6 linked regions of the Coturnix japonica genome follow. The protein of the gene in region 6 interacts with the protein of the main gene of each other region in a pairwise test. Links are inferred from orthologs where the notes say so. Each region holds a gene or a part of one and is shown on either strand. Other genes may lie near its edges.

Region 1 (4,138 bases), on a different chromosome or scaffold from region 6:
GACTCGGCACCGTTATTCTCTTGATTAGAAGCAGGAGTCACTTTGCTTCTCTGTCCTCCGTGTTCCACATCAATATCAACTTCAATACCTGGGAATACATTTGAGACCAAGAAAAAACCATTAGATTTTTGAAAGCACGGTTCTAAGAAAAAAAGCAAACTTTAATCCTGGACTAAGTGCTGCAGCATGACTGTAACCCTACAGCTCCCCATATAATACGTATGAATTCAAGTGCAAAGCGTTCTTTTAGTTAGCTCTGATGCACCAATTAGTCATCCTGCACTAAAAAGACAGGCCATGTGTTTAGAGGGTCAAGGCAGACCTTAAGTATGTGTGCCTAAGCAAAATACCACTGTAACATGATTTTAAATCATCGGTGATTTGGGGTTATATAATTAATCCCTTCCTTGGATCCTTACAAAGGACTCTGAAAAGGTACTGAGTAGATGGCCTATACCCACACAATTTTAGTACACAGAAACTTAAGGCTTTTGAGGCTGAGTAGCACAAAGTGGTTCTGGTACCAGCCACAACAGCTGGCTGCTGCTCCTGGTGGGAGCAAAGCCATTCTCAGGGATGGGGATGACACACCATAAGTCACTTACCCAGGGGGCTCAGAAAAGCTGCCACACTCTCCCCAACGTTCTTTAAGAAGGTGACATTGGGGTCCTGGGGCTGGCTGTTAGTAGAAGCTTCTAGAAGAACAATTTGTGTTAGTACACATAGCAGCCCATAGGGAAAGAGCACATCCCCAGGAATTCTTGGTGCTTGTTTTGTGTCACTCATCTGCACAGCACCAAGGCAGCAGAGAGACCAAAACCACCTCTGGAACAGAAGACCAGTGGCATTAGCACTGTTAAGGCTCATCAGCCATGCTGAAAGCACATCTAAGAGCAGAGCAGTGACATGCTTGACCTAATAGCTCTGCTTGGTCTGGTTCCAAATAGGCTCTCCATAACCTCATATATTGTGTGGCCACCAGACCACACCAGTGTCCTGGAAAGGGCTCATTATTTCACACAAATTGGATTAGTTCCCATGTCTATTTTCCCACCCAGATCCCACACTGGGCTGTGAAGTCCCAGCTTCTCTGGCTCCTCCACTACTATTCTCCTTTAGCAGACCATCTCCTCTTACCTCCAGCAGCGGGTGGACTGGAGGCAGCAGCACTGGCCTGGGCTTGTTCCGAGTTCTGGCACGGAGCTGCAGGTGCGGGATACCCCCAGCAGTGCATCCAGGGGAAGGGTGGAACACCATGCCGCATCTTACGGAGCCAGCGCCCTCTGGGAATCCACTGCAAAGGGTAACGTTCATGGGACCAGGTGAAACTTAAAGCTTACATTTGGGCAGCATCCCTTTTGTTGGTTCTGCTCCATAGGTTTTGCTCACCTCAAACGGATTCAGCAGCGGGCTCTGAAACATCACCATGTTGTGCTCCTTGTGGATGCCTTTCCCCTCACAGGTGCTGCACAGGTCGTAGTCTGGGCAGACGGTGCACTTAAATCGAGCGCCCACCACCGGCCCCTCGCAGCCGTCACAGATGACATTGGGGTGCACCATGTCCCGGGGAGGCTCCTGGCTGCACTGGGAGCGATGTTCACGCCTGCACTCCTTTTTCTCTATTAAGGAAAGGGATCTTTGCATCAAGAACGAGGGTACTATTTAAAGGCTGGAAATCGGGCAGAGGGGAAGGAAACACAAACAGCCCTTGTCACAGCAGTATTGACTTACTAGGGCAGTTTATTTTTACACTGGCTGCCAAACACAAGCTGGGGGCACATAAGAACATAAACCAAGTGCAAAGGGGTGGTTCAAGGATACCCGCTCTTCAAACACTTTGTTTTAGATCAGTGCTGCACCACCCTGCCTGGAGCATCCTCCTACCTTGTGGAGTGCTGCGAGAAGAGAATGTTTCTGAACAGAGCTGAGCAGTGCCAGGGGACACTGCAGGTGAGAACTGAGACAAGAAGGGCGGCCTACACTACTCACATCACAGCCTACAGATAAAGCTTTGTAGGTGTCCAAGTGAACAGAGCGGACTGGGGAATGATGTGCTTAGGAATAAGCTGGTTTTGGGGTTTCTTTACATGTCATGGCACCTGCTGGCAGTACGGCAGGGGGTTCCTAGGACCATCCTGAACACTGCAGCGCTCACTGTGCCAACCCAGGCCCCGGAGCCAGGAGGAACCCCTGCACACAGTGGGTCTGTGCCCGTCTTTACCTCGCCCTTTATGTAACCTCCCCTCTGAGCTGCAGCACGAGGATGAGGGACAGGACCGGGATTTTCCCGGTCTCGGAGCCGTGCCAGCAGCACAGAGCGCTCGGTGCCACCGGGCTGCGGGGCGTTACCTTTGATGTACACACGGAAGACCCCGTCCTGCACGTAAGGCATGGCCATATCCAGCTCCTCGTCGGTGGAGAACGCGATCAGGTCCCCGTCTTCATCTGGACAGAGCAGAGCACACCGTCAGGCGCTCGGCCCGCACCCACCTCCCGGACAACGAAGGGGGCCCCGACCCACAGCGAGCCCCCCCGCCCCGCTCACCCTTGTAATGCATACGGAACGCGGGCGGCGGCCCGGCCCGCAGCAGCCCCTGGAAGAGCTCGGCGACGCGGTCGTGGACGGGCTGGTAGCGGACGGGAGCAATGAGCGAGAAGCGGCGGATCTCGCGGGCCGCGTCGTCCTTGCCCAGCAGGTAGGCCTTCACCGTCAGCGCCGCCATGGCTGTGGCGCAGCACGAATTGCTGCGGGACAACGAGCGGCGGGAGGCGGCGCGGGGCGGGCGGTGCTGCGGGAGGGAGCGGCGGCACCGAGCCTTATAGAGCGGGGGGACGGGCCGGGGTGGGCACAGCCCTGGGTTAAACCACGACCACTGCCATTAGGCACCGCCCCGCCGCCTGGAAATACAGAGCCCATATTCGCCCCGAAAGTAATGCCTCCTATTTATCTGCATGGAAACTACAACAGCTACAGAGATCACAGTGACGCTGTTTGACAGAGCAGGTTCTCAGCTACAAAGCACTGTTTTTCAACGCGGTCACCACCACTGTGCTGTGCATTGTCATCAGTGGTGAACACGAGGCTGCATGCTGCTCTACAGGTGACTGTGAAACACACGGCCATGCCGTGCTCACAGTGCTGTGCTCACAGTGCTGTGCTCACCCACTCGTTGGGCTCCATAACACTCAGCAGCTGTTGGCTCCTTCACCCTCTGCTGCCATCCCACCTGCAAATGGGAGGCATTACTTTTGGAGCAACCCCTTTGCCTCAGCTCTGTAGCACTGATTCCCTCCAGCCCACAGCCTGGCTGCCCACCTTGGGCTGAGGCAATCACAGTGTGTAAGCCATGCTGTGCTGCACTGCAGGGTGAGCGTCCCCCCACGATGGGTTGTGTGTGCCACAACACGGCCTGCCGTGTGGATGTGCCCTTGGTGCACATGTGGCTGCTCTGGGATCACAGCACGCTCCTGGGACGTGGCACTCGTGCAGCATGAGGTGACAAGTGAGAGCTTGGTGTGAGCCACAGCCAGGCATCAACATGAGTCCTTGCTCTCCTCCATGGGCACTTCCATCCAGTAAACATGGAGAGCGTCCCATCTCAGCTGCCTGCTGAGTCACGCTGGGCTCTCTGGCCGTGACATCATTCACTTTCTCAAAGCACAAAGCAAACAAGGCCTGCGGTGAGCAGTGAGCTCAGCTCAGTCACGGGACGGGGTGACTCAGCATTCCCTGCTCCTCCTCGAGGTGGGGATTTCCTCCTCCAGGCCCTGACTCTGGTGTTTCCCCGTGGCCTGGTGCTTCGGCCCTGCCGTGCTCCCATGTATTCCAATGGCACTCACTGCATCCTCCCATCCCACAGCCGGACGGACAGACAGATGTCTCCCCACCAACCCCAACTGCACACTGCTCTGCAGCCTGAGATTTGGCTTAAGCTCTTGTTAACCTGAGCCTGTATTAACCTGGAGGACCCAGGCCTGGAATTTATCTGGCAGCACTGAATGTTTTCTTGCTCTTCTTTAGGAACCACATTCCATCCATAGAACAACCCTTGCTCAAAAAACCACTTGTCAGCCCCGGCTTATGAGCAGCTCCCCAGATGGACGGAGCAGGAGGACAGCAAAGAGGATGGGAATAAAA
Region 2 (4,160 bases), on a different chromosome or scaffold from region 6:
GGAGGAAAGGCAGCCTGTTACCATGTCTGACCGCACCTACAGGGGTGATCTGGTGTCAGGTTTGTGTGTTCTGAAGGAAATTAAGCATTTTTGGGTGACTTCTGATGAAATAGTGCCTCTGAAACATGGTGTATCCTATCCATAGAAAGCAATTACTGGAACACTTGTCGTGAGGTTCTGTGGTTTCTCCTGAAGATCAGTCATAGTAAGTGCCATAGAAGAACATCTGTGTGAAGAATGCAACTCTGAAATACTCTACCTGATGTTTTCCTTCCTTCAGTTTATCACGAGGAGCTCAACGCGCCGGTGAGAAGGAATAAAGAAGAGCCAAAGCCCCGTCCACTGAGAGTGGGGGATACAGAAAGGCCAGAACCTGAGCGTAAGTTCCTGATCTGAAGTGTCTTAAGGGAAGGTACTGGAATGTGTTGGGGTCTCATACAGAGATGTAGCTCTTTTGTTGTGCAAGGTCCCATAGGAAACCAGCTGGATGCAGGATTGTTTAGTGATACCTCTAGATGGAGCAGCAAAGGTCACCACCAGAATGCATTAACCAAGCTGATTGATAGGGGTGTGCTGAAAGCTGGGATGGCAAGGGAAGCGAGGTTAGGGAGCACTGAAGGACAGCCTTTCATAGAGCAAGGGACGGCAGTTGTGTGGCTTTACAGGAGTTCATAAGGTTCAAGTTTAGGTAATGTCATCAGGGAAAGGACTGGAAATGTGCTGATCCTCTGTTCCTTCTCAAGGTTCTCCTCCAAATCGCAAACGTCCACCCAATGAAAAAGCAACTGATGATTATCACTATGAGAAGTTCAAGAAGATGAACCGGCGCTACTGATAAACGTGGGCTGAGGGCTCTGCAGAGCTGCTTGTTCTCCCCATCTCTCATGGTGGATCTTGTGTCAGTGCCCAGGAATGGAGGAGCTTTCCTTGTGCTCTTGTCGATCTGTTTGTGAACTCTGGCTGGTAAAATCTTGTATATAACTTTTATTTTCCATCATAAAGCTTATTTTATCATAACGTCAGCTTTCACGGCGAGACTTTTTGTAGTGGGAAGATGAAATTGACTTTACAGATCCTCTGTATGGAGGAAAAACAAGTCAAATCTCCTTTAAAAGCAGGAGGAGCCCTTCAGGAGTGGGAAGGGGCAGAGATCAGTGTTAGCAGGGAGGAGGTTGGAGGGGGGTGATGTGAAGGAGCCTGAAAGCAAGAGATGGGGCTTAATAAAAGTCTTTTAAGGCACTGTAATGGATGTGTTCTTAATGGAGTTGTGGACAGCCCACATCACTCGTTTGATCCCTTTTTCGACTGGATGTCTATCACCCTATGGCTCCGCCCAACATGGCCGCGCCCAGCCCCGCCTCTGCCCAGCTTCAAGATGGCGGCGGCGGAAGTTATACATCAGGCCGGAAGCGGCGGACCGGAAGCGGCCGTGCCGGCCATGAAGGTGCAGCAGGGATGGCGGCGGGCTGTGCCGGGGCTTGTGCTGCTGCTGCTCCTCGCGCCGCCATCACGGGCCGTGGAGCCCATCAGCCTGGGGCTGGCCATCGCCGGGGCCGCCGCATCGGCCCTTACCGGCATCATCTCCTACCCCAGGCTCTACTGCTACTTCAGGGAGTGCTGCCTCCAGCGCCATGAGCTGCGCGTCGCCAACGGTGCGGGCTGGGATGGGATGGGGGCTGGGATGGGGCTGAGATGGGGCTGGGATGGGGGCTGAGATGGGGGTTGAGATGGGGGATGAGATGGAGCTGAGATGGGGGCTGGGATGGGGGATGAGATGGGGTTGAGATGGCGCTGATGTTCTGCTCGCTGTTAACGGTCCCATGTGCTCTACAGCCCTACAGGAGAGCCTGGACAGAAGGCTGTTCGGGCAGCACCTGGTCAGCAAGGTGGTGGTCAGGGCCGTGCGGGGCTTCCTCAGCAACAGCCAGGCCAAGAAGCCGCTGGCTCTGTCCCTGCACGGCTGGACGGGCACAGGGAAGAACTTTGTCAGCAAGATCATCGCTGAGAGCATCTATAAGAGGGGGCTGAAGAGTAACTATGTGCATCAGTTTGTGGCTACGCTGCATTTCCCTCACGCTCACAGCATCAACCTCTACAAGGTAAAGGTGGCAGGAGGGCAGCGGTGCTGCTGGGTGGGCTGCAAAGGGGCAGAGATGACCTCAAAGATCTTAAGTGAGAGGATCTCATGATACAGCACAGCATTGCTTTGCGTGCCTTGTTTTAAGCGTTGTCTTCATATAATTTCTGGATGGCTCAAACTAATGGCTGAGGACTGAATTCTGCTTCTGCCTGTTCCAATGGCTACAGGTGGGATCTCAGTGAGTCCAACAGAGCAGTTGTGATGCTGGGGGGTGCTTGGACCAAAGTGCTGCCTAAAGCACTCAGTGCTCCACAAGGCTCTGCTCTGTGTTGCTGTTCCTCCTGGTGCTCATCCTTTGTCCTGATGTGTCCTTTCCTTTTCAATGTGGTTTCAGGAATATCTTTCTCTTGGGAGTTCAGGCCCATCTCATCCTGTCTCTGGGTGTCCTGTTTTCTGCCTTTTCAATGCAAACCCTTTCAGCTGCACCTGTTTTTATGCCACCCAGGACCAATTGCAATCATGGATTCGAGGAAACGTGAGCATCTGTCCCAGGTCAATTTTCATATTTGATGAAATGGACAAAATGCACGCAGGACTCATTGATGCCATCAAACCATTTCTGGACTATTATGAGCTTCTGGATGGGGTGTCGTACAGACAAGCCATCTTCATATTCCTCAGGTAAGGAGCACCTCATTGGGTTTGCTGTCCTGTGCACACAGCGCCTTTTAAAACTACCTTCAGTTACAACCCTTGTTTTCCTCTTTTCTTAGCAACGCGGGAGCTGAAAAGATAACAGAGGTGGCACTTGATTTCTGGAGGAATGGGAAGGCGAGGGAAGATATTCAGCTCACGGACATGCAGAACGCGCTGTCTGTGTCTGTCTTCAATAACAGAAATAGTGAGTAGAGCTGAAATTGAGCTTTGACACAGTCAGAGTCCCATATAAATGATAGTCAGCCATCAGTGCACACAGTGTATTTCATGGAAGAGGTTTCTGCTTTATGTGGTCTCCAGTTTTTGGGCTCTGGAGCCACCGTGCAATGTGTGGCCAATGGGAGAGTTCTTGTGATGCCTTAGAGCTGAGGACACCTGTGTGCAGCTTGTTTGATGGCTGTGGGTTACGTTTGGATTAGGGGAGTTCTGTGCTGTGTGTTTACTGATGTACTAATATGGTAAAGAGAAAGCAAATAAAAGAAATGAGGCTGGGTGCAAGATCTGGGGGAAAAAGGAGCTGGACAAGCTGGTGTGTGAGAGCTGATAACAGAAAAATATTGGAACTTCTCTAAGTGAGAGAGGTGAGGCTGTGAGAGCAGCATGTGGGGAGCAGGGCTTAAATGCAGTCATTCAGAAGGGATCCAGCAGACCATGTTTGTGTGTCTGAGACAATGCAGAAGTGTGAGAATAGGCTTAATTTTAGATTGACTTGTGCTCTGTAGGGCCCTAAGAAACACAGGTGGATCCCTCCAGGTGTGTTGCAGGAGCTGTGACATTCACCCCCCTGTGTTCAACTTGAGGAGCAGTAACAAAGCCTTTCTCTTTCCTTTCGTAGGTGGATTTTGGCACAGCACCTTGATTGATAGGAATCTCATCGACTACTTTGTTCCCTTCCTGCCTCTGGAATACAAACATGTGAAAATGTGTGTCAGGGTTGAGGTGGAATCCCGTGGTTATGCTGTGGATGAAGACATTTTAAACAGAGTAGCAGATGAGATGACCTACTTCCCCCGAGAGGAAAGGATTTATTCAGATAAAGGATGCAAAACTGTGGACGCAAAGCTGGATTATTACTATGACTTATAAGGCTTTATTGCTGCAACCTGCAAAGAAGCAAATTTAACTTGATCATGAAGTGGAGAACCCAAGACATTTCATTAGTAAACACTTTTTAATGGAAGGAACGTTGCTGTAACCGGTATGTAAAGAAGCAGAAGCATCTCTGCATCTTAATTCTGTCACTAATCACGGCTCCCAGGCATGTCCTCCTTGTGCCAGCAAGGCCAGGAAGAGCTGCACTGTGAACTGAGGGCTCGGATGGGGCTGAAGGCTTCTCCCACATGGATCAGCAGAACCCCAGGGC
Region 3 (4,223 bases), about 16 Mb from region 6:
CTGCACAAGATTGACACACAAATTCATGAAGTGTTCCATAAATTTTACTGGCTGGAGGGCCATGCCCAGAGGGTAGTGGTTAATGGAGTTAAATCTAGCTGGCAACCCATTACAAGTGGTGTCCTCGAGGGGTCGGTTCTGGGGCCCATCTTGTTTAATATCTTCACTGATGACCTGGATGAGGGGATTGAATGTACCCTCAGACAGACACTGAGGCCTTGGAATGTGTCCAGAGAAGGACAACAAAACTGGTCTGGAGCACAAGTCTTACGAGGAGCGGCTCAGGGAGCTGGGATTGTTTAGCCTGGAGACTCAGGGGAGACCCCGTTGCACTCTACAACTTCCTGAAAGGAAAGGAGGGGTTTGGCCTCTTCTCCCAGGCAACAAACAGGACCTGAGGAAATGGCCGTAAGTCATATCCGTGGAAGTTTAAGCTAGATATAAGCAAGAACTTTTTCTCTCAGAGAGTGATCAGGCACTGGAATGGCTGCCCAGGGAGGTGGTGCAGTTGCCATCCCTGGCAGTGTTCTGGATGAGGAGCTACGAGCAGGATCGCTGCTGTTGCCTACACGAGTTCTGCTGCTCAGGACAAGGCAGGGAGAGGTGCTGGCTCAGGGCTGGACGTAGCGTGTGACTGGGGGCTATGCCCATAGAGCGGGACAGACAAGGAGCTGCTGATCACACTGCCTGCTTACAGAACTCTGCTTACAGGCATAATACGCCAGCCAACACATAGTTAAAATGACGTCTTGAGCACGCTTGTATAACACCCGTGTCCCAGCACCGCCTCCCTACCTTTGCTTCTGCCTGCAGGCTGGGAGCATGTTTATCCAGCTGTATCACAGCGTGAGCTCTCAGTGGGCTTTAGCAGGAAATCCTGCAGCAGCCTGGGCTCTGATCCCTTCACCTCAGCACAAAGCTTTCTTTTTTTGGCATTCCACGTGATTGCCCCGGTCTTGACTCAGCACTTTGCTGGCCCGGCAGCATTTAATGGTTTGGTTTCCCATCACCACCTCCTCCAGAAAAACAGCAGCTCAGAAAGGCCGCCATCTGCTCGGAGCGAGTGTGAAGTGCAGCTTTCATGCAGTTTAGATAGAAAGCCATTGTTTTAGAGCCGTGGCCATCGTGCTACCCCAGTAACAGCCGCAGCTGAAGCGCTCTGCTGCCAGGCTGTGCTGGGCAACGCTGTTTCTCCCACCATTTTTCCTTGTACTGAACTGTAAGCCGCCCTGTTACTTTAGCCCTACACCAGATGCTAATTTCACTCTGCTCTATTGCACATCACCCGATTTACTTGTTATGATATCTACCATCCCTCAGGGCCGCTGCACACAGAAAACCCACCCGCCCGCGGCACCGCGAGGGGCGCAACCGATCCGCCAACCGCGGGATCGAGCTCCGCCCGGCGCTTGGCGGCGCCGCCCTCCCCTCACATGACCGCTGTCGACGCTCTTGCCGCGCCCGCCCGCCCCTCGGCAGAGCCCCTGTGCCGGCACTATGGCCCCGCGCCGCCCCTACGGACTCGAGTTGTTGTCGCTGCTGCTGCTCGGAACCTGCGGTGAGCGGGGCGGTGCGGGGTGGGTGTGGGTGGGTGTGTATGGGTGCGGGTGCGTGCCGCTGTCCCTGGGGCCCGTGACGCGGCCGGTTGCCGTAGTGCCGTAGTGCGGGCGGGGGGGAGCGCGGCGGGGCCCAGCCGGACCGGGCGGCGCCTCCCAGGGTCGGAGCGGGGCGAGGAACCCGCTGCGTGAGGCCTAATGCAGCCACACGGCTGTGCGTGCAGAGGGGAAACGGACCTTACGGGGCTCCTGCTTGTCCTTCTGCTGGGGCAGAATAAAAAGCGAAATAAGGACGCTCTGATCGGGAGCCACAGCTCTGGGTGTGAAGCGCGGAGCTGCGGAGGGGCATCGCAGGCTTAAGGCAGGCTCCGTCCTGCCTATAGCCTGCCGTGTGACGGTGGGCTCTGCCGTCTCCAACGCTGTTATACAAGCAGGGTGAGAGGAGCTGGGATGTCGCTCCGTGCCATGAGGCTTTGGGGCCTCTGCTTTTCAAACGGTGTGCGATAAGCGTCGCAGTTCATACGGGGCATGAGGAACGTGTGCTTTCTTATGGCATCTGGAAGGAACCCCTACTGGGGAGGAAACACACCGATATCTGCTTTTACAGTTGCAGTTACTTGCTGTCAGCATAACTAAGTAGGCCAGGGTGTGCCTGGTCTGCCCTATGAACTTGCTTGGTGTGGCATTTCTCTTTGCTGTCCTATTTGGTAGCACCTATGCTGAAATATCCCCTTTGGAGAAGTTAGTTTCAAGCTGTTTTCCCTGCGGAGAGAGCACCTGTGTGTGTGTGTATGGGTTGCACTGGTTGCCCAAAGCTTTAGATTTGGCCACGTTCTTTCTGAAACGAGAAGCACTGGTGCACAGGTGCAGTATCAAATCCCTCCTCAGCTCAGAAGGGAAGGACTTTTAGTGTTGCTGGAACTCCAAACTGACTCTTGGCAACGAGTTCCGGTGCTACGTGGTAGCAGATTGCAAAGCTGTTATCTCTCGGTTGCACCATCCATCTCTGCACAAACAGTAACTGTTGTAAAAGCCACACTGCACCGTTGCTTTAACAACGTGCAGGCTCCTAGCCTAGGCATGAGACGTACTGCTTGGATCTGTTACCCTGCTTACTGAGAATCAGTAACTAAAGAAGTATGGCTGTTGTCAGGAGACTCTTAGGGCTTATTTAATAAGTTGTTCTGTGAGCTGTTGGGGACAGGGTGCGTGTTTATGTGCCTCCTGTAAATAAATAGAGTGTGGCTTGGGTTACTGAACGTGATGCTTAAGTGATATCATCAGGTGTTATGCTTGGTCGGGTGGGGTGATGTATGTGCTGCCATTGTTGAAGCTAGAACTCCTTGAGGTTTACTGCTTCAGGTTTAGAATAAACCATTTGAAAACCTTCATTTACTGCCTTGTCCTTAGTCTGAAGTGTTCTTACCACATAATAGTTCCATTAGGGTTCCAGCACTGATAAATTAATGGTGTGGTATTGAGCACAATTTGCTTCAGAGCCAACATGGTTAAGTTTCTCCTGGCTCTACCTCGGGTACTTCTTACTCTGAACAGCATCAACAATGCAGGCTGCACTTGAATGCTGTTAAAGCCAACTGTCTTGTGTGCGGAGCTTTGTGATGCTGGTGGAAGAGAGCCAGTATGGGGCAGGGAGGAAGTCCTTAATGTCAAGGTGATGCAAAGCGTGAAGTACTGTGGATTCTGTGTGTTGAGGGGTGGAAGACTTGAATGGCTATTGAAGAGAACTGTGCAATCGTAGTTACCATCACTTTAGGGAAACGAGCCTGACTAACATCAACCTTATGTTAGTCAGGAATGATGCTTCTAACGTTTCGATCCTGTCTGTTTTAGGGAACTGTGGCAGGCTGGGAATGCTGAACAAAACCAAATGAGAACTGGCTTTGGGGAAGTCTCTGTGTTGGGAGTCAGGCTGGGTTAAAAATCCAACTACAAGTTCTCTAAAACCTTGAATGAAATTTAACATCCGTGTCCTTTGAGCCAGAAATTGTAGAGATGCAATGAAAGCACACTGATCTGAGAGGTCAGCTGGAGTCGTGCCATTAATAAGACAACATGGAGACTCTGGTCGACAAGCACTGCATTGTTCTAAATGCTGTGCTTGTGCAGTTTGGTTTACTCAGTTTCAGCCAGCAGAAAGCTAAAGCTCATCTAATTTGTTGGCCTTGGTCAGGCAAGTAGACTATAAATTATCCTCTCAATTAGTATTTAGCATTGATGGTGGGCTTCCTAGTTTTAACATTTATTAGATATCTGGCTATCGGTTCAGTGTCTGACAAATAGAATCCAATCTGAAATCATGTACTACTTTGTAATGAGCATCAAGTCTATGTTTTAATAGCTAATAATTGTATCTTACAGGTTTTTTCCAGTCCTATGCAGTGGAAGTAGATGTAAAGGATGCCTCTAATGTTACATGCTTGTATGCACAATGGATGATGAAATTCTTGATAAAGTATGAAACAAACAGTAGCGATTATGTAAGTATTTGGAGGAACTCTTGTTGAGAACTGCATTTAGCATGAAATAAAACTATTTGATACATTTTGTATTTAGTTTATTGGCTTTCTTGATAAAGGTAAAAGATAAAAGCCTAAAATAATCATACTGATCTTGTGCAAGGCTCCATCTAACCCTGCCAGGTTTATA
Region 4 (3,500 bases), on a different chromosome or scaffold from region 6:
ATTCATCACTTCTGCCTACACCAGTGTGGACACACTTGACTAACTCTGTCTTGAATATGGCGTGGAGAATTTTTAGCCTCCTTGGCTTCCTCTCTGGGGATTTAGGATCCTATAGACATGATAAAAGATGTTTTATGGCAGGTACTCTTCTAGCTGTTACAAATGTCTTTTTTTGCAGTGTTACAAAGTTAACATCTGCTGTTGCGGGAGGTTCACTGTTACTGACTGTAAAGCTTTGCTTGTGGCTAGAGTGAAGCATCTAGATGAATGGATTTCCTGGGAAGGGAAATAAATTCCTGCTTCACTATGAAAGTGTATTTTGAGATGTGAAATCTGAAGTATTGCAGAGCATTTCTGACTGCTCTCATGGCAGTCCTTGTCATTCTTGGTTCCTTCGGATTCAGCTACTCTTCACAGGTCTGTTGGGGACTGAATGCCAAGGTGTTTGCTTTTCCTTTGCAGGAGCTGCGTGCTGTGGTACAGCAGCTGCAGGCAGAGCTGCAGGAAAAGGCTCAGCAGATCCAGACTGTGGAGTGGGAAAAGTGCCGTGAGCTGCAGGCCCAAGAACAGAGAGTTCAGTGTTTGAGTCAGCACCTGGCTCGCAAAGAACAGCTTCTGCAGGTGAGATGCAGAAAGACTCAGACTGAGCATAACTAGCCAGGGCCCCTTCTCCTTTGGTATGTGGAGATGTGGAGGTTAGTCTGTAGCTTTAATACATACCCTTAAAAGAAGGGAGGGAAAGAGATGCTCCTGTGCTCCTCAGGTGAGGAAGCTGGCACAGATTTCCACATACCTCAGCTCACAGCATGGTGAGCCCCGACAGGCCCTAGTCAATCAGGTGCAGGTGTTCTAATTCCCATTAGTGTAGTGAATAGATCAGATGCTCAGTCTACTGTCCAGGGGTTTTCTGGACTGACAGCTGTACTGGGTTGTGTGCTACTTCTTCAGGAATCAAGGGAACTTCTGCAATGCCAGCAAAGCTTGGGCAGGAGCTCTGCAGCCATGGATGCTATGCTGGAGAAACTGCAGCAGCGAGTCAGCGACAGGGATGCTGCGCTGGAGGTGAGTGCACTCTGTTAGTAACACATCCCTGTTTTTCATGTGGCTTAATCTTTGGGTTACCATCAACAGTACAGCCCCACACTGCTCTCTTGCACTGACTCCCGTGTTCCTCATGGCCCATTCTTCCAGAGAAGCCTTCTGGAAGGGAGAGCTAAGGTGCTCCATGTAGAACAGTAAGCTGCAGAGCCTTTCTATCCCACGTTGAGTATTTCACTCTTGTCATTCTAGAGAGCAGTAGACGAGAAGTTCTGTGCTCTAGAGGAAAAAGAACAAGAGCTGCAACAGCTCCGTCTCTCAATAAAAGAACGTGGAGGTGACCTGGAGAGGCTGCGCAACGTCCTGTCCAGCAATGAGGCCACCATTCATGTAAGTCCTTGTACTAGGGTGTGTGTAGGAATCCAGCCTGGCTGCGATGTGGAGCAAGGCAAACCTTCATGTGATTGCACTGTCAAGGAGAGTAATTGTGAGGTGTTGGCTTCCTCTGTCCCTGTGTGCTGGGCAAGTTCCCAGGGCTCTTGTGTTTCTGGTCTGGATGTGGATGTGAAAGTGGTGCCTGGCAAGGATGGAGATGTATGTCTTTGTGCAGGGTAAAGTCCCTGCCCCTGATTGAGCTCCTTCTGTTGTTTGTCCTTAGAGCCTGGAGAGCCTCCTGAAAGCTAAAACACTGGAACTTGAGCAGATGTCAGCAACCTGTGAAAATCTCCGCTGGCTCAAGGAAGAGATTGAGGCCAAATCCTGCAGCAGGCAGAAGGAGCAGGAGGGGATCATCCAGCAGCTGCAGACTTGCCTGCATGACAGAAACAAGGAAGTGGAGGTAAGGCCTTCACTTAGATTTCCAAGCCAGTTCATCTGCAGAGAGTGTGGTCCAAGGCCAGAGCCTCTTGGCTGCCTGCTGCTCAGCGGTTTGTAGTGCCTTGGAAACTGGCTGCTTTCAGCACATGTGAATAACCTGTGCTTTCTTAAACGTTGTTGACTCAGCTCCATCTGGACTGAAGAGCTGTTTCTCCCTGAACAGGCTGCAGTTTGTTCATAGTAACGTTTCTCCATCTCTCCCTTCCTCTCCTTTTGTTCAGGAGCTGACAGCAACTCTACTGTGCAAGCTGGGTCCAGGACAGAGTGAGGTGGCAGAGGAGCTGTGCTTACGTCTTCAGCGCAAGGAAAAAATGCTGCAGGAGCTTCTCAGTGACAGGAACCGTCAAGCTATGGAGCATGATGCTGAAATCCGGGAGCTGCTGCAGGCCATGAGCACCAAGGAGCAGTGGAGCAAAGTGAGTTGTGTGCAGTGCTGCAGTGGGGATGCTGGGGTGGATGATTCTGCCTCGTGTTAAGCATATTGAAGCCTCTCTCTAGCTACTGGAGTTGCTGAGTGCTGGAGAACCACCAAGCTGCTTTTAGGTTGGTCACATTATGATAGGAGCACTTGTAGCAGTGTTCAGCTGTGTCAGTGTTTGTGATGAGGAAGGAGGCTGGGATCCTTTTGGGTGTTCATGTTCTCAGGCTTGAGGCAGTTGGAGGGACCATGGGGTGGGGGGTGGGGGGGTTGAGGGTTGCTACTTGTATAAGTCTGTATTACCAGACCAGAAAGAAAGACTCGACTATTTCTTGTGTAGATCAGAACTCTGAGGAAGCTTTGCTCATTGTGTTGCAACTTACACTTCAGTCAAACTGCTGCAGGATCCTGGGCATGTAATGCCACAATTCCTGCTCTGCCTGCTCTTGCACACTGTATGCAATTTAGTGTTAACTGAGATACTTCACATCAAGTTTCCTTTCACAAAAAAAGAGGAGGCTGAAAGGCCAAACTCTCTCCTCTTGTCTCTCTACTGCTTTTTTTCCCCCCCCCCTTCTGAAGGGGGGTGAGGGAAGCAGAGCAACTTGTTCCTCTGTAGGTAGAGAGGCTGTAGATGTCTGGCAAGCCAAAGTGAGAGGACTGCAGTGGAATCACTGAGTGACCAGGAGCAGTAGCTACCAGACTATTTGAAGAATGCTTTTGTTATCAGTCAAGATGTTTTCCTGTAGTCTCTAAGAAAGCCCGGTCTTCCCCTATTTTTTTTTCTTCCTCAATCAGGCCACTACTGAGAAGATGGTGCATGCTTTGGCTGAAAGAAACTGTGAGTTACAGCTCTTGCGCCAGCATGTGTTGAGGAAGGAGCCTGTCGGGATCCAGGCAACTGGTACCAGTCTGCTGAAGCAGGACAAGCAACAGCCTGTACAAGTAAGGATCATGTACAGTGTTTTTCCTGTGGCCTTGGGGCTCCAGAGGGAGCTTATTGCCACGGGAGGAACTGAGATAGGGGAGTGCCACAGGGAATGATAGTACTGAAAGTGGGATTAGGAAAGAGGTTTAGGAGGACAGAGGAACTGAGGAGCAGAAATGTTGCCTGGACACTCTGACCTTGATTCCACTGGCTTTTGTCACTCAGTGTCACTCTTGTTTT
Region 5 (3,500 bases), on a different chromosome or scaffold from region 6:
TCTTTCTCTGGTGTAGGCATTTTCTAAATGACACATAGGAAAAAAAAATACAGTCTGTGGCACACCATATCTGTAAGATGAACTAACAAACATGAAAAATGAAGCACGGGCATTTCACAAGTTGTAAAGAAGCTCTGAAAGACCACATTCATGGCATAATATATATAATTCGTTTAATAAGCTGTCTTCCATATCTCCAGCATGCCTTTGGTTGCATGAGTTACAATAAAAAGAGATGCAGGCATGGTAGCATCTACACTTATTTTGAAAAAATAGTTGCAATTACAAGTTAAGCCTCCAGTATGTGGGGTTTTTTGTGTGAAGAGTAATAAAATTCTTTGGAGTCCTAATATGAATCTCAAAGTCAGTTTGTAAATGGAAAGATTTAGTTATTTCAAAAACACCAGTTAGCGCTGGATAATCAGATTATGAAACATTAGAAGTCATAAGAGAGGCCTCCCTTTTTGCCTGCTTTTCAAGTCCTTAATGAAATTCAACTGTCACTAATCAGTTGAAACCGCAGTTATCTGAGTAAGTTAAAACAGGTTGTGTCCCCAGATATGACCTGACTTCTACACTGTAACGTGCTAGACATCTGCATCAGCTTCCGCCTAAAACCCAGACCTTGCCTTGATTCCCATGTTCAGTTATTTTCTAATTGTACAGACATTAAAAGTCCTTTTACTCAGCACTATCATCTTCAGCAAGCAATGGAATTCATTTGGTTTTCCCAAATAAGGCTTCCTACCCAGGTAGAAGAATTATATACATTTTCCCCCCATATTCAGTACATGATTTATCTGATGAGCATTCTTGTAAACTGTAGCTATTAACCACACTGCCATAGAACATGCTGTACAGGTGTTTTCCCTGCCACAGAACTCAGAGGCCCATTTGCATTTTAGTTGCTTTTTGATAAGTGGAAAATAAAACCCATTTTTAAATGACTAATTCCTGCAAGGAAAGGCTAAGGCTCGATGTTTTACTTAACAATAAAATTTGAATGCTTTTAGATGTGGGCAGGTTAATCTCAAGCATTGCCATGTTTGCAACAAGTCAGATTCAAATGAAAGTTTCAAAAGTAGTAAGGAAGAAATGATCAATCTCACTAATCTGAAAAAAATCTCTCAGTAGGGAGCTTAAAGGAAACATGAAACAACTGTTAGGTAACCTTCTGCTATTAACTTCTAGAATCTTTTGCAGTGCCTGTTTGAACAGAACACCAACATACGTAGATACACACTATTTCGGCATACATACTCAGTTTTAGAGCAGAAATCGGGTACTTCCAGCTACTTGTCATTTGAGGCAACAGGGAAGCTGATACTCCAGGTAATAATGCAATGGTCCACAGATAACACAGATTAACAAACTTCAGCAGACCATAAAACACAGACACCTGCAACTGCTCACATAGGAAGTAACAAATAAGGAAGCAATGTTAAATATTTGCATCAAGAGGGCTGTGAGTGCAGATGTGATTTAGAAACACTTCAAGTATTTCTGCCTTATGTTTTACACGTTCTGTATTAGCAGAACAACCAAAATATTACTCCAGCATTAAGAACAGATCTGATACTCAGGCTCTGGGAAAGCAAAAGAACAGAATTAAAGCAACAAACCAGACTCCAACAGCCTCCACTTACTTTCTTCATCTATTTTCAGCTCTTCATTGTTTTTGATCTTCTCTGCGATTTCTTTCTCATTAAATCCTTTACTTGCCAAAAACTTGATTTTATATTCATCCCAGGAAACATGACCTGTAAGAGAGAGCCATATCTCAGACATGACTTAGTATAGCAAAAAATGGGAACTTTGGGTCTAATTTGTGAACAAGACCATCACAATAAACTTTATGAGAACTACCACCTGATTCACTTTCCTGTTTCCTTACAGCAGACGGGCCTTGTGAAAATAACCTGTTTATGTCACAGGAGGCAGAAGAAACACTTTATCTTACCATCACCATCAGGGTCCACAGCACGGAAATGCATTTTATTCTCTTCCACAGCTTCCTGGAAATGTTCATCTGTCTTTTCCATGATCCAGCGCTGCATCTCTTTAGCACTTATCTTTTTATCATTATCTATATCCACTCTGTGAAAGAACAGCAGACAAGATTTAATTCTTTTTTTTTTTAACTGAAAGGATTACATAGAGGATTAATACAGAGGATAGACTCTGGGCTTATAGTAGAAAAGCTCCCTTGTTTTTCACATCCATCCTTCTACAGGCAGGTACAGCAGGTAACTGCCTAGTTCAAAAACATTCTACCATGTTTCACTTGGCTGTAACTTAACTCATTTCGATACTATGCTTTTGAGTACATTTCTAGAGGAAACTACAAATACTGATAATATCCTAATGGCTCATAATAGTCAACTGCCAGCTCTTGCAAACTTTCACTACTGTGACAAATTTCTGCACTAAGAATCTCCCAAATCAGTAACTCCCCCTCCATTTAACTTTGCAAGTCTTTTTTCCCTTGTTTTTCCAAAGTCTCTGAAGCTTACAGATAAGCTGCCTTTACATGCCTGCCTCGATCACATCATATTCTTTGCAGCAATTAAAAACAATGGAAAAGGTGAACATCTCAGTGCAAGGACTTCTGAAGAATTCTACACTACATAGACCTTATAAGTGGGGGGGAAAACAAAAATCAAGTTGCCTTAATGATCACTTGATCCCCAGTAACGCACTACAGGCAATACACTTTAACCCTTAAACAGGCACATTGCAAAAGCTTTGCATGTACACTTGTTCCCATAGTTTTAGTGCTAGCAGGCTCACTTTGCTCTGTCAAAATACAAACCTGTACAGTGTTACTGAGCAATGCTGCTAGACCTGTTGAGAAACACTTATGCTCATAATTCAGTTAGTGAGATGAATAAAAGATGTGTCCAACCTGACAGCCCACTGTCCTACCCCTCATACTACGAATACTGCTTTATCAAAACAGACTGCCAAATGAGCAATGCCATTAATACTTATTTCATTAAAGAGGATATAAAAATAACAGATGAACAAAGACAGTAACCTGCCACTTTGGGGGGTGGGTTTTTTTTTAGCATACGATTATTTTATTACAAAAAAGGTAACAATGTTTAAAACTGAAATCAGTAACATTTAAAAGGCAAGATTCTATTTAAAGCAAAACAAAACCACTCTGATTCAAACAGATAAAGGCTGCCAAGTTGTGTTTTTTTCTTTAAACTGAACTAGTCTTAAAACTACTTGAAGCGTTATCACTGAAACTCAAGCTATTAAATGTGAATGCATTTAAATGTCACCTAAATGTTACAGGCTTAAGACAAATAACAACGCCAGCATCTGATCTTCTGAAACACATTAACGCTGTTTTAAAATACTGTAAACACATTTTGACCTATTTATTCACAGACTCAGCAACTCTTCACCAAACAACAGCAAGATGAGCACAGTGGTCACGTTCCACTTGTGTTGTCTTGCACTCACCAGGTGAGCAGTGGGGGGTTTTGATA
Region 6 (4,035 bases):
CATCCATTACAGAATTGACTTGCTGCCAAATCATAAAAAAAGAACGAATCTACAGAAAAGAGTGTATTTTCCTTCCTATTCTACTACCATGCAACTGAAATTAACTTAAAAAAAATAAAATGGAATTCCTCCAGTTTAAATGACCTATTCATATGTTCTTGGCAGCTTTTTTCCTGTTCATTTTTCACTATGGCATTTATGAGACAGTACTTTAAGGCCTGGTAGTTTCTAAGTGAAGACGATGATTGTGTCGTCAACAGTCCAATGTGAGATTTGAAAAGAATCTTTCCCCGGGTTCCATGCAAAGTACTCGCATAGTCTGGGTAAGTCAACTAACATCTGCTTCCCACTTTCTCCACTGTCTCAGTGACCGTAAAGGTTCTTCTTTGAGTAGCCATGGAAAATAGCTGCTGAGGATATGCAATAGTAAGTATAGAACATTAGGTTAACTTTGAAAAACAAGGAGCTGACACCTCACCATTCAAAATGTTACTGCTGAGGACCTTTATTTAGTGAAGAAAGAAAACAAGCTCCTTTCTATGGGGTGTACAGTTATCTTCCTTCTACTCCAGGAAAAGACATTGGCACGTCTTAGATTCAGTTCCAGAACCAACATCTCAAGTTTTTTCTTTAAAAATCCTGCTTAAAACTCAGGCATTCTACAGGATTCTGTGAATTTACCTCCCATATAGCAAGCATCTTAAATAGGGCCAGTCAGTAACTTGCATTGTAAGGCCTCTTCCAACAGGCAAGTTTATCCTGTACAACATTACAAATGCAGCCCCATATGACCAGCACACACAGTGACAAGAACCAAAAAAAAATACATGACACACAACAAACAGCAATCAAACAAACAAGCAACAATCGTCAAAGACCCTATGCTCAGGAGAGTTCAAATCTCATCATGTTTACTTTGCAGTTAATCCTCTCCTATGAGTGATTACATATTTCAGAGAAGAGAGAGAATTCAGCTCTTTCTTTCAGATGAGCGGGGCTGTCAGGGTACACCAATCAGCAGCACAACCTCACTGCCCACCTACCCACATAGAGGACTCCCTCTTTCGTCTTTCCTGCTGCTTCTGCCACTCCCTGCTTGGTTTTTTCTGCTGCTGCTACAACCCCTTCCTTTGCCTTGTTAAGTCCCTTCATGAAGACATCCATGGCTGAAGGATTTCTTCACACAACACTAGAAAAAAAAAAAAACAATACCAAACACACTTTAAATAATGGTTCTCAGCTTTTTTTTTTTTTTTTTGCCAGAAAATTTTATTAAAACTGATTGCACATCAAAATACTTTTGAAATACATTATTTATACTCACATATTATATAACTTCCATCTACATCCGTATTAGCAATATACACATACCTCTCTGTATCTAGGATCGCTTTCAGTATTTCAGATAGACAAAAAACAGTTAAATAACTAGAAAACAAAGGAGCTCCATTACACAACTCACCTTTACATCTCACATGCTACCACAGAGCAAGTTCAAGTTAAGCAGTATGGCTAAGGTAGTCCCTGAAAGGCCCAGGAGTTCCCACAGAAACGTACAGAAAGGTCACTGATAACGCAGTTCTCATTTGAAGTTGCACTCACTGAAAGGAACAAATCCATTCCTTGCCTACCACCATCTCCTCCAAAGGACAGTTTCTTGTCTATTAACTACAAGATCTAATCCCATCATTCGCTGATGCTCCACCTTCTCATTCAAAGGAAAAACTTAAAAACTAACAACTTTACAAACGCTTCTTCTAAATGAGAAACGTTCGCTCATTGTTGTTTGAAGAACCACTAATGTTCCAGAAGGACTTGAGCAAACACAAAACTGCTTTCCAGCAACCCAGCATTTTGCATGCAGCCCATATTGCTCTGCCAGCACTTGAGCTTTCAAAAGGGATCCTGCACATGCATCAAGACTAAGGAGGAAAAAAAAAAAAAAGCAAAGGCAAGAACATGCTACACTAATAACACCACACTACAGCTAGCAAGTAGGTTCTGTGGCAGTTATACAGCCCTACGCTACAATTAGGCCACAAAGACAGTAATTAAAGCCAGCAAGACACCCCTTTCACAATCCCGTCGCCGACAGCCCCTTCCCTTTCTCCCCCTCCCCCTCCCAGAAGATGCACTGCCTGCTAGTTCTTTCCCTCCGCCGGAGGAAGGGATGTCTAGGAAGACAGTGGGGAGCTTGCTACTAACCCGTGGCAATCAGAAGGGCAGAATCCGTGCCCCACTGACACCGTAGGCAGCACCGAGAGCAGGTGTGGGAGCACCTGGGTGCAGAGCGAGGGAAGAAAGCAGTACATGGCTACGTGGCTCAGTCTAAATAAAAGAATGGGCACCTGTGGAGGAAGGAAGAAAGAACGCGCAGGGCTCTCCCACATGTATGTGTCTGTATCTATACGGACTATCCGAGGAGAAGGGCAGGGCTACGTGAGCACATAAGCACCCAGCGGCTCCCTCACACGGCAGCCGCGGCGCCCGCTGGTTTCCCCTCCCGTTCCCTTCCTCCTTCGTGCCCAAAGGAGAACACGTTGAGCGACAAATGCACCTGTCCGCACACCCACCCCTGCGGCTGCCCAGCCCCAGGGCGAGCAGAGCCTCTCATGCACTCCCCACCACCTACCGCTGGGTCCGCCGCTGCAGGAAGGCGGGGGGAGGCAGGGCAGGAGGAGGGCGAAGCGCAGAGAGACCTGATGGGAGCTGCCCCTTCTCAGCACATCGCCAACTCTCCCGACGGCAGCAAGGCAGGCAGCGAGTGTGAAGGAGAGGCAGGGTGCGGGGCGGGGGCGGTAGGAGGAGGGGCCGGGGGCGGTGGGGCGGCTCCCAGCCTCCATCCCCTTCTGGGTGGGAATGTGCTGCGGGTCGGGTATGCGTCGTGACGTGGGGGTGGGAGGTAAGGATAGGAAAGAAGAGGGGAGGCTGAGGTCCTGGTCATCTCGTGGCACCACCTGTCCGCTGTTCGCCCCGGCGGCTGAATCACAGCACTCAGAAGCAATGCGAGCAAGCTGTTGCTAGTGAATTCAGCACACCTGTTTCGCTTCACCCACGGCTCAGAAAACGCCCCCGAGCTCTTGGTTACTTATCTTCCTCTCGTAAGCCTTCAGGCCGGAGTGACTTGAGGTGAACGCTCTCAGGATTCACGCTCCCAGCTCATTTTTAAGGATGGCAGGTAATACTCTTGTAGGTAAAACAAGATCCTTAACCCCACAGCATAATATAATAAAATCTTTGTCTAAACAAGGATGAGAAGCCCAGCCTCACACCTGTTGGTCTCCATTGTACAGACCAGAGCCACTGCATTTCCCCTCTTGGTCTGTTACACTCAAGTCACTTTTCCCCAGAAAGGGAAGGCAATGTCACTTCTCTGCATTGCTGCAGAGCGTAGGCATGAAAAGCCAAATTCAGTGGAAAACAAGGTATTAGAACAGATGGACCTTCAGCATCAGTACATCAGTCAGCATGCTGTACAGATCCTGCAAAACCTTGCAAAAACAGTTTGTTCTGTCATTGCGCTCCAAAGGAGAAGCAGAGCTTGGTACAGATGAGACACAGGGATGTGAGCTGCACAAAGCACCTTCCATCCATCATACTGGGCAGACAGCAGACAGGTTCCTGCTTTTATTTCCATTCTGAGCACACAGTGCAGAGTTTTCTCTTTTTCAGGTTTCTTAATGTTTCTTTACCGCTTGGTAATCTTCCTTGGGATTCATTCCACTACTACATTTAACCAAGCAAACATTTGGTGAAATGTATTTTTTTGTGTGAGAAGGTGCTGACTGAGAACACAAACCATTCCTTCATAATTCTGCTCTCCAGAAAATCCTTAGCAAATGATCCAGCAATTGCACATCCTATTCATCATGAGCTACACTTTACTTGCAGTCAAGGTTGAAATTGCAGAAATAACACATTTTACATGAGCAACAATAACATCTCAAATTAATGACTTTGTCTGGCTAGATAGTCAGTGTTTGAGTGGAAAGCAGCTCTGTCCCCCTGGGACCTTAAGTAAATCCATACTCTGAA

What was found.
Region 1: the proteins of SNCA (region 6) and SQSTM1 interact in binary tests that used the Homo sapiens proteins (3 or more experiments, as listed by UniProt). The link is inferred for Coturnix japonica from reciprocal best matches to the Homo sapiens genes SNCA and SQSTM1.
Region 2: the proteins of SNCA (region 6) and torsin-1A-like interact in a two-hybrid assay, tested with the Homo sapiens proteins (2 studies listed by BioGRID, with this or other methods). The link is inferred for Coturnix japonica from reciprocal best matches to the Homo sapiens genes SNCA and TOR1A.
Region 3: the proteins of SNCA (region 6) and LAMP2 interact in binary tests that used the Homo sapiens proteins (3 or more experiments, as listed by UniProt). The link is inferred for Coturnix japonica from reciprocal best matches to the Homo sapiens genes SNCA and LAMP2.
Region 4: the proteins of SNCA (region 6) and myomegalin-like interact in a two-hybrid assay, tested with the Homo sapiens proteins (2 studies listed by BioGRID and IntAct). The link is inferred for Coturnix japonica from reciprocal best matches to the Homo sapiens genes SNCA and PDE4DIP.
Region 5: the proteins of SNCA (region 6) and SDF4 interact in a two-hybrid assay, tested with the Homo sapiens proteins (2 studies listed by BioGRID and IntAct). The link is inferred for Coturnix japonica from reciprocal best matches to the Homo sapiens genes SNCA and SDF4.

What each region holds. Positions count from the first base shown.
Region 1 is NC_029528.1:4,616,723-4,620,860, reverse strand, and holds the start of SQSTM1 (sequestosome-1), read right to left. Parts: upstream 2,801-4,138; 5' UTR 2,724-2,800; coding exon 2,546-2,723; intron 2,446-2,545; coding exon 2,350-2,445; intron 1,620-2,349; coding exon 1,390-1,619; intron 1,295-1,389; coding exon 1,138-1,294; intron 696-1,137; coding exon 606-695; intron 89-605; coding exon 1-88. UniProt on the Homo sapiens protein: Molecular adapter required for selective macroautophagy (aggrephagy) by acting as a bridge between polyubiquitinated proteins and autophagosomes.
Region 2 is NC_029532.1:4,312,227-4,316,386, reverse strand, and holds the start of torsin-1A-like, read left to right. Parts: upstream 1-1,360; 5' UTR 1,361-1,375; coding exon 1,376-1,652; intron 1,653-1,833; coding exon 1,834-2,099; intron 2,100-2,585; coding exon 2,586-2,761; intron 2,762-2,853; coding exon 2,854-2,981; intron 2,982-3,632; coding exon 3,633-3,883; 3' UTR 3,884-4,160. Other genes in the region: C17H9orf78 (telomere length and silencing protein 1 homolog), read left to right, coding at 281-379, 744-835. UniProt on the Homo sapiens protein: Protein with chaperone functions important for the control of protein folding, processing, stability and localization as well as for the reduction of misfolded protein aggregates.
Region 3 is NC_029519.1:15,316,921-15,321,143, forward strand, and holds the start of LAMP2 (lysosome-associated membrane glycoprotein 2), read left to right. Parts: upstream 1-1,423; 5' UTR 1,424-1,497; coding exon 1,498-1,558; intron 1,559-3,935; coding exon 3,936-4,054; intron 4,055-4,223. UniProt on the Homo sapiens protein: Lysosomal membrane glycoprotein which plays an important role in lysosome biogenesis, lysosomal pH regulation and autophagy.
Region 4 is NC_029523.1:4,147,417-4,150,916, forward strand, and holds part of myomegalin-like, read left to right. Parts: intron 1-462; coding exon 463-621; intron 622-948; coding exon 949-1,062; intron 1,063-1,290; coding exon 1,291-1,428; intron 1,429-1,696; coding exon 1,697-1,876; intron 1,877-2,135; coding exon 2,136-2,330; intron 2,331-3,130; coding exon 3,131-3,277; intron 3,278-3,500. UniProt on the Homo sapiens protein: Functions as an anchor sequestering components of the cAMP-dependent pathway to Golgi and/or centrosomes.
Region 5 is NC_029536.1:2,140,754-2,144,253, reverse strand, and holds part of SDF4 (45 kDa calcium-binding protein), read right to left. Parts: intron 2,098-3,500; coding exon 1,961-2,097; intron 1,761-1,960; coding exon 1,647-1,760; intron 1-1,646. UniProt on the Homo sapiens protein: May regulate calcium-dependent activities in the endoplasmic reticulum lumen or post-ER compartment. Isoform 5 may be involved in the exocytosis of zymogens by pancreatic acini.
Region 6 is NC_029519.1:31,290,067-31,294,101, forward strand, and holds the start of SNCA (alpha-synuclein), read right to left. Parts: upstream 2,801-4,035; 5' UTR 2,633-2,800; intron 2,370-2,632; exon of another isoform or gene 2,349-2,369; intron 1,190-2,348; 5' UTR 1,165-1,189; coding exon 1,044-1,164; intron 1-1,043. UniProt on the Homo sapiens protein: Neuronal protein that plays several roles in synaptic activity such as regulation of synaptic vesicle trafficking and subsequent neurotransmitter release.